Saccharomyces cerevisiae S288C: one gene and its partner. The main gene of each other region encodes a partner of the protein of the gene in region 2 in a complex. Each region holds a gene or a part of one and is shown on either strand. Other genes may lie near its edges.

What was found. The genes of interacting proteins can lie anywhere in the genome.
Region 1: NUP159 (region 2) and NUP57 share a complex: the UniProt entries of both Saccharomyces cerevisiae proteins name them as parts of the nuclear pore complex.

Annotation. Positions count from the first base shown.
Region 1 is NC_001139.9:727,546-731,450, reverse strand, and holds NUP57 (FG-nucleoporin NUP57), read left to right. Parts: upstream 1-1,779; coding exon 1,780-3,405; downstream 3,406-3,905. Other genes in the region: ammonium permease MEP1, read left to right, coding at 1-2; Golgi transport complex subunit COG2, read left to right, coding at 630-1,418; 40S ribosomal protein uS12 RPS23A, read right to left, coding at 3,721-3,905. UniProt on the Saccharomyces cerevisiae protein: Functions as a component of the nuclear pore complex (NPC).
Region 2 is NC_001141.2:141,491-152,183, reverse strand, and holds NUP159 (FG-nucleoporin NUP159), read left to right. Parts: upstream 1-3,474; coding exon 3,475-7,857; downstream 7,858-10,693. Other genes in the region: HOS4 (Hos4p), read right to left, coding at 1-589; mitogen-activated protein kinase tyrosine protein phosphatase SDP1, read right to left, coding at 996-1,625; putative porin POR2, read left to right, coding at 2,196-3,041; HIS5 (histidinol-phosphate transaminase), read right to left, coding at 8,099-9,256; pheromone-regulated protein PRM5, read left to right, coding at 10,615-10,693. UniProt on the Saccharomyces cerevisiae protein: Functions as a component of the nuclear pore complex (NPC).

The DNA of each region.
Region 1 (3,905 bases), on a different chromosome or scaffold from region 2:
AAACGGTTTATTGATTTTGTTTCCAGCTTGGCTCTCTTGATTTTTTATGAGCACGTGTTATTTATTCCTTATTCAAACCTTCATATATGTATAGATGTGCATTGTTTATACGTTACCTAGCATTTTAATGACCCTCCTATTTAGTTATCTTTTATCACATTCGTTAAAACCTAGAGGAAAAAAAGAAAACTGGAGGATTTCACAAATCTTCCTCCAATGTTGCTCATTTCAAGCAAAAAACGACCCCAGTGAGGGTTGAACTCACGATCTTGCGATTAACAGTCGCACGCCTTAACCAACTTGGCCATGGAGTCTTTTTGACTATGTTCTCGAGAAAATATAGGCTCTCTTAGTCCTCAACATTTTAATTATTTGAGTACACCAACCGGTAATCGTGAAATAGTTAACACTCTAGATCCAAAAAATACGTATTTAGGTATAATGGGATGTAAGACCGTTTTTATGAGGGTGCCTTATTTAAATTAAAATTATTATTGCTCGGGCCTTTACCTCGATTTCATGGAATTTTCAACAGGACAAGAAAATGAAGCTTAGAAAAAATATAGAATAATAAATAATATGAAAAGGGAATGGTCAACAGTCATAGTCGCAATTTCTCTCAGGGCGAAATGGACTTTTTGAATGATGATGAACTAGACTTAGATTTACCGGTAACCGCAGAAATATCGAAAGAGTTATTCGCAACAGAAATAGAGAAGTATCGTGAATCCGAGACTAATGGGACCGATGTTGATAACTTTGATGTCGACAGATTCCTAGTGCAGAAAAATTTCCATTACCTTCCTCTCGATTCCCTTATTAGAGATTTGTCTGGACTTTCACAAAAAATGGTACAAACATTATTAGAACAAATAAGAAGTAACTACGACGACTATCTGACTTTTTCCAATACCTATACAGATGAAGAAAATGAAACTCTAATAAATTTAGAGAAAACACAAAGTGATCTTCAAAAATTTATGACTCAATTAGATCATTTGATAAAGGATGACATCAGCAATACACAAGAAATTATAAAGGATGTCCTGGAATACCTAAAGAAGTTAGATGAGATTTACGGCTCTCTGCGTAACCATTCACAATTGACAGAAGCGCTCTCACTTGGAAAGAGATTGAGTAAATCTCTCCATGAAATGTGCGGTATAGAACCATTAGAAGAAGAAATTTGCTCTGGCCTGATTGAGCAGTTGTATAAGTTGATTACGGCATCTCGTCGAATATTGGAGTCTTGTGCTGATTCCAATTCACCATATATTCATCATCTGCGCAATGACTATCAAGACCTTCTGCAAGAATTTCAAATCTCACTGAAAATCTTGACCGAAAAGTGTCTTGAAAACCCATCAAGCCTGCAAAACCTATCTTTGACATTAGTCTCCATTATAAAAACGGCATAGTTGGGAGAAAACTTTCCATACTTCAATTGTGGACTGATATAAGTATTTTAGTTTTGCCCGCATGATCATCCCACATGGCTACAGCAGTTCTCTCATAGGAAAATAGTACAATAGCTACGTGATATAATCTAAATAATTGTTGCCAATGTGTAATTATATCATTTTGAACGTACGCGAAATGGATTATTTTCAAAAATTTTGTTTCTTGAAATGAGTAAAAGCAAAAGTCCAACTCTCCAAGTCGATGTAAACAACTTTTTGCCAAAGGGACTGAAAGACTAAATCGAGGATTATCCCGTTCAAACTATTCCAGAAACGCTCGTTAGTAACAAAAGACATACCTTGTTGACCAATTGATCACATGTTTGGTTTCAGCGGTAGTAATAACGGGTTCGGAAATAAACCAGCTGGTTCGACCGGTTTTTCATTTGGACAAAACAATAACAATACAAATACTCAACCTTCGGCTTCAGGATTTGGTTTTGGGGGCAGCCAGCCAAATTCTGGGACGGCTACTACCGGAGGGTTTGGTGCAAATCAGGCCACAAATACTTTTGGAAGTAACCAACAAAGTAGTACAGGTGGAGGCCTTTTCGGTAATAAGCCTGCTCTTGGCAGCCTAGGAAGTTCAAGCACTACCGCTTCAGGAACTACAGCTACTGGAACAGGTTTATTTGGGCAACAAACAGCACAACCTCAACAATCCACCATTGGAGGTGGGTTATTTGGAAACAAGCCAACTACCACAACGGGAGGTCTTTTCGGCAACAGTGCACAAAACAATAGTACCACAAGTGGGGGTTTATTTGGTAATAAAGTAGGATCCACTGGCTCACTGATGGGCGGCAATAGCACTCAAAACACATCTAACATGAATGCAGGCGGACTTTTTGGTGCAAAGCCTCAGAATACTACAGCGACTACGGGAGGCCTATTTGGCAGTAAGCCACAAGGATCAACAACTAATGGTGGCCTGTTTGGAAGCGGCACCCAGAATAACAATACCCTTGGGGGAGGTGGCCTTTTTGGCCAATCCCAGCAGCCTCAAACAAACACTGCGCCCGGACTTGGAAACACGGTATCCACACAACCATCATTTGCTTGGTCTAAGCCTTCAACTGGATCTAATTTACAGCAGCAGCAGCAGCAGCAAATTCAAGTACCGTTGCAACAAACGCAAGCAATTGCTCAACAACAGCAGCTGTCTAATTATCCGCAGCAAATTCAAGAACAGGTGTTGAAATGTAAAGAATCGTGGGATCCAAACACAACGAAAACAAAACTCAGGGCTTTCGTGTACAATAAAGTGAACGAAACGGAAGCCATTTTATATACAAAACCAGGACATGTACTTCAAGAAGAGTGGGATCAGGCAATGGAAAAGAAACCTTCCCCTCAGACAATTCCCATTCAAATATATGGATTTGAGGGTTTGAATCAACGTAATCAAGTACAGACTGAAAATGTAGCCCAAGCTAGAATAATTTTGAACCATATTTTAGAGAAATCCACACAATTGCAACAAAAGCATGAATTGGACACTGCGTCCAGAATTTTGAAGGCACAATCAAGGAATGTTGAAATTGAAAAAAGAATCTTAAAATTGGGCACACAATTGGCAACCCTGAAAAATAGAGGACTGCCATTGGGTATTGCAGAAGAGAAAATGTGGTCGCAATTCCAAACTTTACTACAGCGGAGCGAAGATCCTGCAGGTTTAGGTAAGACTAACGAACTTTGGGCACGTTTGGCTATCTTAAAAGAACGTGCTAAAAACATTTCTAGTCAATTAGATAGTAAATTAATGGTTTTCAACGACGATACAAAAAACCAAGACAGCATGTCCAAAGGCACCGGTGAAGAATCTAATGATCGTATTAATAAGATAGTGGAAATTCTGACGAATCAACAACGCGGTATAACATATTTAAATGAGGTTTTAGAGAAAGATGCTGCAATTGTAAAAAAATATAAAAATAAAACGTAATCAGGTTACTTAAATCAATGACTGAATTGTATAAAGATCGATCTATTACATATATAGCATTATTAACCAACTTAGTATATGAACAGAACTTCAACCCAAGGGAAGCAGACATTCACTATAAAACTTTTCTCAGCATCAAAATAAAGTGCAAATTATGTTGTTTTTTTCTATTGAATTATACATTCTATTAAAGAGAAAATATTGATGTGATTCTCTCCCATTCCTAATAAGAAATTAGAAGGAACTTTCTGGAAGAATAAAGAGATACATTAAGGTACAAAAACAATGTAGTCCTCGAGAGGATAACTTTCGTGCTTATGATCTTGGCTTTTCCTTCTTTTCTTTCCACAAAGCCAACAAGGAGACACCAGAGACCTTAACGACCTTGAATCTAACACCTGGAATATCACCCTTAGCTTTACCCTTTCTACCGAAACCTGCTAGCAAGACTTCATCATTTTCGTCGACAAAGTTCAAACAACCATCGTTTGGAACGAAAG
Region 2 (10,693 bases):
CATTTTCTGGTTCTGTTGTATTTTTTTCAAGTACCTCATCACTTAAATCCTCTTCTTCAACAGCTCCCAAACCCTCTTCTTCTATGAAATCATCAACAGTTTTCCTTTTTGGTTCTTTCAACATCGCTCGAAGTTGGTCTCTCGAAAAAGGTTGATGGTTTTGGATATCAACATTACGTACATTGGGTGATGATGATGATGACGAAATTTTCGCTCGTATTGCTTGGCTTATTTTTTCATTCGTTTCAGGAACATCGTCCGGACGGCTGTCCCCATTAACCTCTCCTTCGTGTGAACTCGCATCATTCTTATGGGCCAGGTCTTCGGATTCCTTTGCATTCAGGTTATTTTGGGTGGCTTGATGAACGCTTGTAGTCTGTGAGCGAAACGATGCAACATTTTCTGGAAACTTATCACTTACTTCTTCCGACAGTGTTTCCCTTTGTTCATGCTTGCCGGCAGTATCTTCCTCTTCGGATGTTTCTTGTTTAGAAATCTTTTCCAGCTCCTCCCGTCTCGTGCTCACGTTTGAAAGATAGCTGCTCAGGGACCTTTTCTTTAGCGGCTGTTTTGTAGTAGTCTCATTCATATTGTCATGAATCTCTACAGCAATTCTTCTCTGTCACATATAATAATATCCTTTGTTGCTTTGTGTAACTTACTACATAGTTTTCTCAATATACACATTGATTTAGCATCACAAGAAAACTTGTTACCCGGAATAAACTAGTATGAACCGTACAGTAAATGCGCAAATTATATTGAGAACTTCGTACAAGAACCCTACCAAATCCAAACCTTGTTCTTCTAAGGACGAGTCACTTCCTGAGCCTTGATTTGGAAAAGGCTCTCAATAAGAGAAACTAAAAGCTCAGAACAGAGCATGAAACAAAGCGAAGAAATACGGAATTATTTATAAAGTACAGAAGAAAAAAAGAGCATCGTGCCCCTCAATAAAGCCTCATTGAATGCTATATCTTTTTTTTTTTTCTCTCTCACGGTACTTTTCTATAACTGTTGGCTTGCACGTTAGTCTTCGCGTTAAGAGCAACCTCCCATTCCATCAACTGGAAAATAAGCCCTATGGAAGGGTTTATCTTGTCTGCCCTTGATTTCAACAGATCATATGAGTGCCTCAGACTCAAGTTATGATATTTCATTATATATGCAATAATCAGCGTTGCGGATCTCGACAGCCCACATTGGCAATGTATCAGTATCTTCTCTCGCTTAGTCGTAGCTGCGTGTATGATGCTAGTCAATGATGGCAAGTCCAACGCAATCTGCGAATCATGTTCCCATCGGTAGTGATGGTACTCGACAGCAGGAACCTGCATTCGTAAATCGTTTGCCTCTTCAGCAACGTTGATGACCACATCAAAGGGTAAAAGCTCTTTTACCGTGGGCTCTGAATAAAGGTAGATCTTTTCCGGGAGAACAAGTAATGGGCCTTTTGGGTAGATTCTGCGCACGTCCAAACTCGAACAAGGCACGAATTCACGGTCTTCATTCGGGCTTTCTTTGTCCGTAGACCTCTCATCTGTGGCCAGCATAGGAAGAGATGGTCTTTGGCCACTCTTTGGTGCGATGTTCGGTGTTCGCGTGGGTGATGTGTATATGTTCATGCGAGATTATGGCTACAAGTGCGCAGCCGTATGTGTTATTTTAGATAATAGATTATCTTCAACTTTGTTGCTGATCTTGTCTTACTCGTTCTTTTATATCACCCAGTATACCATAAAGGGGATAAGAACTGATTAAAGTTATTCGCTGCGGCAACCTAATTAGGAAGTTGCCTGTTCCAGAAGGGGAGTTGCCAAGGCCGCGCCGTACGACGCAAAAACCCTTTTCTATCTGGAAGATATCTCCTATTCCAATAGTGTGCGCCCTGCCTAGCAAATGAGACGAATAACGGATTCCGCAGAAATGACACACTGCAAAATCTGTTCGTAGTTTTCAGCATTTAAAAGTTTAGTTCTTTTTCTATGCTGCGACTGAGCTTCTGCATTTTTTAACCAAATACTAATTTGTCTTACATGATTGAAAGCGCCTTTAGCAATTCCTTTCCTTTTTTCTCGCTTCCAATTGCAGAAATGGAACAAAAAGAAAAGAAAGAATAGTGAAGATGGAGCTCTTCTGTTTTATTCTCGAGTGAAGGAATTGCATGAAGAGGAAAGTGTTAGAAATTACCTACGATGGCACTACGATTTTTCAACGATATATCTAGAGATGTCAATGGCCTATTCAATAGGGACTTTTTTCACACCAACCCCCTCTCTTTGAATATTTCAACAACCACGGAAAATGGTGTGAATTTTACTCTGAAGGCGAAGCAGGGCGTGACAGAAGGCCCCATCCAAACTAGCGTAGAAGGACGGTTTTATGACAGGAAGGAGGGAGTGTCGCTATCTCAGAGTTGGTCGAACCAGAACAGGTTAAATACAAGAATCGAATTTTCCAAGATAGCACCTGGTTGGAAAGGTGATGTCAACGCATTTTTGACTCCCCAATCCATCAAGAACGCCAAATTTAATTTGAGCTACGCCCAAAAATCGTTTGCAGCAAGAACTTCTATAGACATCTTGCAACCTAAGGACTTTGTCGGAAGTGTTACTTTGGGCCACCGCGGGTTTGTTGGCGGCACTGACATCGCATATGACACAGCTGCGGGTTTATGTGCACGCTATGCTATGTCAATCGGGTATCTTGCCAGAGAATATTCGTTTATTTTGTCTACTAACAACAGGCAATGCGCAACTGCTTCATTTTTTCAAAACGTTAACCGCTATTTGCAAGTGGGAACTAAAGCCACTTTACAATCGAAGACAAGTTCTAATATGAACATTGAATTTGTTACCAGATACGTACCAGATTCTATTTCGCAAGTTAAGGCAAAAATTGCAGATTCAGGCCTGACTACATTGTCGTACAAGCGAAATTTGAATAAAGATATTTCTTTGGGTGTGGGTATGTCTTTCAATGCGCTACAACTGACTGAACCAGTCCACAAATTTGGCTGGTCTCTATCGTTCTCGCCCTGAGAGATTTTATTTTCTTATAAATTTTACTAAATAAGGATTTGTACTTTTGATAGAGTTTTTTTTTTTTCTGACGTTTGTTTAGTTAATATTATATAATAGTATTTAGGAAACTAGGTGGGAGGGGACATCGCAACTTTTATCGTGACCTACGACCAGTGTTTTTTCAATTGTTTGATCAAAAGAGAAAAAAAGACAAAGGACCGAAGGATAGTTGCACGCATAAACTGGAGAAAAAATTGTGTTTGACATCGGCGTTTAGGCTTGTTTGTTCTGTCACACATACGCTGCTTCACACCAATTCATATTTCTCAGGTTAATTTGTCTCCTCTCCAACTTCAATAACGATTTTGCGTGAAGGTTTAATTTCATTATTGCAATTTTAGCAGAGAAACGCACATAAATATATATATATTGATTACAGAACCATTATAACATGTCTTCTTTGAAGGATGAAGTACCCACTGAGACTTCCGAAGACTTCGGTTTTAAGTTTTTAGGTCAAAAACAAATTCTACCTTCCTTCAATGAAAAACTGCCATTTGCATCTCTACAAAATCTCGATATTTCAAACAGTAAGTCTTTATTCGTTGCTGCCTCTGGTAGTAAGGCGGTGGTCGGCGAATTACAATTACTGAGAGATCATATCACCTCCGACTCTACTCCGTTAACGTTCAAGTGGGAGAAAGAAATCCCAGATGTAATATTTGTGTGCTTTCATGGTGATCAGGTTTTGGTTTCAACCAGAAATGCATTATATTCGTTAGACTTGGAGGAATTGAGTGAATTTCGAACGGTCACTTCTTTTGAGAAGCCAGTTTTCCAATTGAAGAACGTTAATAACACTTTAGTAATTTTAAATTCAGTCAATGATTTATCAGCACTGGATTTAAGAACAAAATCGACTAAGCAACTGGCACAAAACGTTACCTCTTTTGATGTCACAAATTCGCAGTTAGCAGTTCTACTAAAAGATAGAAGTTTTCAAAGTTTTGCATGGCGAAATGGCGAAATGGAAAAACAATTTGAGTTCTCTCTACCGTCAGAATTAGAAGAGCTTCCAGTAGAAGAATATTCCCCTTTGAGTGTTACCATTCTCTCTCCACAGGATTTTTTGGCGGTTTTCGGTAATGTTATATCAGAGACCGATGACGAAGTTTCATACGATCAAAAAATGTACATTATAAAGCACATAGACGGCAGCGCCTCATTTCAAGAAACTTTTGATATTACACCTCCATTCGGGCAAATAGTAAGGTTCCCATATATGTACAAAGTTACCTTGTCTGGTTTAATTGAACCTGATGCAAACGTAAATGTGCTAGCATCATCATGTTCAAGTGAAGTAAGTATATGGGACTCGAAACAAGTTATTGAACCTTCCCAGGATTCTGAACGAGCAGTATTGCCCATCAGTGAGGAAACAGATAAGGACACAAATCCAATAGGTGTGGCAGTTGACGTCGTTACTTCAGGCACTATTCTAGAACCTTGTTCCGGTGTTGATACGATAGAGCGATTGCCGCTCGTTTACATATTGAATAACGAAGGTAGCTTACAGATAGTCGGGTTGTTTCATGTGGCAGCAATCAAAAGCGGCCATTATAGCATAAATCTGGAATCTTTAGAACATGAGAAATCTCTCTCTCCTACATCAGAAAAAATTCCTATTGCTGGACAGGAGCAGGAAGAAAAAAAGAAAAATAATGAATCAAGTAAGGCTTTATCAGAGAATCCTTTCACATCAGCAAATACATCAGGCTTCACTTTTCTTAAAACACAACCAGCCGCTGCCAATAGCCTGCAGTCTCAAAGTTCTTCAACCTTTGGTGCTCCCTCATTTGGATCATCCGCATTTAAAATTGACTTGCCATCAGTCTCATCTACCAGTACTGGTGTAGCGTCCAGTGAACAAGACGCAACAGATCCTGCTTCTGCTAAGCCAGTATTCGGCAAACCCGCGTTCGGAGCTATTGCCAAAGAACCGTCAACATCAGAATATGCCTTTGGCAAGCCATCTTTTGGTGCTCCCTCCTTTGGCTCTGGAAAGTCATCTGTTGAATCGCCTGCCTCCGGATCTGCCTTTGGTAAGCCCTCTTTTGGTACTCCTTCCTTTGGCTCTGGAAATTCATCTGTTGAGCCGCCTGCCTCCGGATCTGCATTTGGTAAGCCCTCTTTTGGTACTCCTTCCTTTGGCTCTGGAAATTCATCTGCTGAGCCGCCTGCTTCCGGATCTGCCTTTGGTAAGCCCTCTTTTGGTACATCTGCATTCGGAACTGCATCAAGTAACGAAACTAACTCTGGATCCATATTTGGAAAGGCTGCATTTGGTTCATCATCTTTTGCACCCGCCAACAATGAACTTTTCGGATCAAACTTTACTATTTCAAAACCTACAGTTGACAGCCCAAAGGAGGTAGATTCAACGTCACCTTTCCCATCTTCTGGCGATCAAAGTGAAGATGAGTCTAAGAGTGATGTAGACTCTTCTTCGACACCTTTTGGTACGAAACCTAACACCTCTACGAAACCAAAGACCAATGCCTTTGATTTTGGGAGTTCTTCCTTTGGATCTGGATTTTCAAAGGCTCTGGAATCTGTTGGTTCCGATACAACTTTTAAATTCGGTACTCAGGCTTCACCTTTCTCTTCACAGTTAGGAAACAAATCACCATTCAGTTCCTTCACAAAAGATGATACTGAAAATGGATCTTTAAGTAAGGGCTCTACCAGTGAAATCAATGACGATAATGAAGAACACGAAAGCAATGGTCCCAACGTAAGCGGTAATGATTTGACAGATTCTACGGTTGAGCAAACATCTTCTACTAGATTACCGGAAACTCCCTCGGATGAAGATGGTGAAGTTGTCGAGGAGGAAGCGCAAAAATCCCCCATAGGCAAGCTAACTGAAACTATAAAAAAAAGTGCCAATATTGACATGGCTGGTTTAAAAAATCCTGTATTTGGAAATCATGTCAAAGCAAAATCCGAATCGCCGTTTTCAGCATTTGCAACAAATATTACCAAACCAAGCTCTACAACACCTGCTTTTTCGTTTGGTAACTCCACAATGAATAAAAGTAATACATCTACGGTTTCACCAATGGAAGAAGCTGATACTAAAGAAACTAGTGAAAAGGGCCCCATAACCTTGAAGAGTGTGGAGAATCCGTTTCTACCAGCGAAAGAAGAAAGAACTGGAGAAAGTTCTAAAAAGGATCATAACGATGACCCAAAAGATGGTTATGTATCAGGAAGTGAAATATCTGTAAGGACTTCTGAAAGTGCTTTTGATACCACAGCAAACGAAGAAATTCCAAAGTCACAGGACGTGAACAATCATGAAAAAAGCGAAACAGACCCAAAATATAGTCAACATGCTGTGGTTGATCACGATAACAAGTCTAAAGAAATGAATGAAACTTCGAAGAATAATGAAAGGAGCGGTCAACCAAATCATGGTGTCCAAGGAGATGGAATAGCATTGAAAAAAGACAATGAAAAAGAGAATTTTGATTCAAATATGGCAATAAAGCAATTCGAAGACCACCAATCTTCAGAAGAGGACGCGAGCGAAAAAGACAGTAGACAAAGCAGTGAAGTTAAAGAATCAGATGATAACATGTCACTCAACAGTGACCGGGATGAAAGTATATCTGAGTCCTACGATAAACTGGAAGATATTAATACTGATGAGCTACCTCATGGTGGAGAAGCTTTTAAAGCACGTGAAGTGAGCGCTTCCGCTGATTTTGATGTACAAACTTCATTAGAAGACAATTATGCTGAATCTGGCATACAGACAGACCTTTCAGAAAGTTCCAAGGAAAATGAAGTTCAAACGGATGCCATACCCGTGAAACACAACAGTACACAAACTGTTAAGAAGGAAGCAGTCGACAATGGTCTGCAAACTGAGCCTGTTGAAACATGTAATTTTTCTGTTCAAACATTTGAAGGTGACGAAAATTATTTAGCAGAGCAATGCAAACCAAAGCAATTGAAAGAATATTACACAAGTGCAAAAGTATCAAATATTCCTTTCGTTTCACAAAATTCTACGTTAAGGTTGATTGAGAGTACATTTCAGACGGTCGAAGCTGAGTTTACTGTTCTGATGGAAAACATCCGGAATATGGATACTTTTTTTACTGATCAATCGAGCATCCCTTTGGTGAAGCGTACAGTGCGGTCTATCAATAATCTGTATACTTGGAGAATACCAGAGGCTGAAATTCTATTAAATATTCAGAATAATATCAAGTGTGAACAAATGCAAATAACAAATGCTAACATTCAAGACCTGAAGGAAAAAGTTACAGATTATGTCAGGAAAGATATTGCACAAATAACTGAAGATGTAGCCAATGCAAAAGAGGAGTATCTGTTTTTAATGCATTTTGATGATGCTTCGAGTGGATACGTTAAAGATCTCAGCACGCATCAATTTAGAATGCAAAAGACATTACGTCAAAAGCTATTCGATGTGTCCGCCAAAATTAATCATACTGAAGAGTTGCTGAACATTTTAAAATTGTTCACTGTAAAGAATAAGAGATTGGACGATAATCCATTAGTGGCAAAACTAGCTAAAGAATCTCTTGCACGTGACGGTTTACTAAAAGAAATCAAATTATTGCGTGAGCAAGTGAGTAGGTTACAATTGGAGGAGAAAGGTAAAAAGGCTTCGTCGTTCGATGCATCCTCTTCAATAACAAAGGACATGAAAGGATTTAAAGTAGTAGAAGTTGGGTTGGCCATGAATACGAAAAAGCAAATTGGTGATTTCTTCAAAAATTTGAACATGGCAAAATAGTGATATTTAGCTATATGTACGTTGTTAGTGCCGTTAATAATAAATTCATCCTCTATCATAGAAACAGGGCATGAGAAACGAAGAAAAATTGATATTGTAACAATATCATGAGACCTTTTATAGAAGTGGCGCCAAAACTAAATGTATTTGAAAATACAAAAAACGCACAGGTTTCTTTATATATGTATATATATATATATATATATATAAAACTGTACATATACTGTTTAAATTAATCTATTTATTCATTGGCCAGCTTATATAACGTCTCCTTGAAGTACTTTATCAAATGTGTGTTCTCCTCATGGGTTCCAACGGTAATTCTCAAACATCCGGAACAGCCTAATTCGTTACCTCTAAATCTGACGACAACCCCAGATTGAGTAGCCAATTGGTAATATAACTTCTTTGCCAAGACATTGTCACCCCCGTTGATCCGTATTAAAAGAAAATTAGCATCTAATCCACCAACATATTGGTCATCAACGTAATCCAAAGCAGTTAATTCCTTTAAGAGGCGCATTTTCTCTTCATTGATTATTTTCGAAGTGGCTTCCATCTTCTTTAGATTACTGTCTTGAACAGCTTTTAGTGCATATTCAGAGGCTAGGGAGGAAATATTATAAGGCGCCTTCATTGCATTTAAAATTCTGGCCAACTCTGCTGTTGCATATGTCATACCCAACCTAATCCCGGCTAAACCGAATGACTTGGATAGAGTTTGCAAAGTAACCAAGTTAGGATACTTGGTGACTAGTGGAGCTGTAGAGCCACCACAAAAATCTACGTAAGCTTCATCAACAACGACTAACCCATTGTCCCAATTCTGTAAGACCTTTTCGATTAAACTGGTCTTAATTTTGGCTCCGGTTGGATTACCTGGTGAAGTAACGAACATCAACTTAATTAGCGAGTCGTTTTTCAAAATGGTTAATACAGCTTCGGTATCCATTTGAAAAGAACCGTCGGAAACAGTTAAAGGACATTGGACGACTTCTATATCATTAATGTTTGCACAAACAGAGTACATAGAATATGTTGGTGGAAGAACCAGAATCTTTTCTTTCCCGGGAACACAGCATGCTCTAATAATAGCATCAATACTCTCATCAGATCCCACACCTAGGCACAGATTGTCAGCAGTTAAAGGTTTTACCTCTGGGTCATTGGCATAACTGCTTGTTTTGTTCCTGTATTTCGTCATTGCGGTCTTGAATTCCAATTGGTGAGGATCCGGGTAACGATGTAAATTGGTCTTGCTCAATTCAACTGGAGTAGGTCCATGGGCATTTTCATTGGCGTCTAGCAATATACCCTCGGTGAAATCATCTCTTGCACAGCGATAAGGTTCCAAGTTATAAATTTTTGGTCTAACAATTCTTTTCAAATCAAAAACCATAGTGTAATTTTAATATATACGGCACACACGTACTGCTGGTTTAGCAGGAAACAAATTAAGAGTAATCAATGGAAAAACTGTTTTTACATATTGGAGGGTATATTGAACAGAACTGTGTGCATCCTTTTCAAGTTATATAACGTGAGAGATAAAATATCAAGTATGTCATGTCAGGGTAAGAAACATCAATTGAAGTGAGTCAACAGATCCAAGAAAAAAAAGCACTAACTACGTCACTATACCATGAACTATTGAAAATTGGTAGTTTAGTCATCTCAGATTCCATTCATTGGAAAAAACAATTGACTCCTAACAATTAACTTCGGATTAGTCATTAATTATTTCAATGCTTGACTCCTTTTTTGAATAGTCTCACCCGGATCGTAGTCACATGATCAAATAAATTATTGCATTACCAATGGCTTCTGTATTAGTTACTGTCCAGGAAAGGTCTCAATATAACCGGTCACCTTATTTATGATAACAATTTTTAACCATTTACCCTTTATTTTTGCAAAGTTATGACCTTTGGAATGCGGCAGAAAAAAAAAAAATTGATGAAGTAGTCATCAAACAGGTTTCGGCGAAAGACAGTACAAGAATTGCCAGCTAAAGCTTTTCTAATATGTTATTCCATCAAATATTCACGCTATTAATGCTATCTGATCGATTACTTGGTAAAAATAACCAAATGAGTATTGGGTCATATTTTGGAGAAGCGAAAAGTGCACGGCATACTTAAAGAAGAGAAAAAAATTCTTAATCAAAGCTTAAGCGGCATCGCATAACTCTGACAAAAGTATAATCATAGTATGTGGTTTGAGTAAACAACAAGACTGGCAGGTAAGTTTTTTAAATGAATTTTCTTAGCAGGGTTATTGCGGCGCACGTCTATAGGTGATTTACCTTTGTTCCTGAATATACATGATATTCTTAATGCGACAGCGCCCAGGGAAGCAAAGAACGCCGACGAAAGAGCGGCGGAGCAAAAGGCGCAAAGTGACACCTTCCGATCCTGGGAAGTGATCGGTTTCGCTGTTCGGGCTTTTCTTAGACAAATAAAGTTTAATTTTCTTGCTTTCTCTTTTTGGCTAAGAATTCTATATTGTTCTTGAAACAACTTTGTCACACGTTCTAAAAATAAAATGGAAAATGGAAAATGAAAAATTAGAGAGAAAATGTATTACTGAAGAATGTGGTAAAGACATTTGAAAAATATTTAATATATTACCTGAGATCATTCAAAGGAACGCATCGGTGCAAAGAAACAGTTATAGCATTAGAGTTAAGTCAAGAGCACTCATTATTACTTTAAAAGGTCGTTGAAAATAGAATAAATTGACACTCAAAACGCAAGAATGACAGTAATCACCATTGCCAAGAGAGGCCTTCCAAAATTAACCACTTCCACTTCTTCGACAACAACTGCCAGTTCAA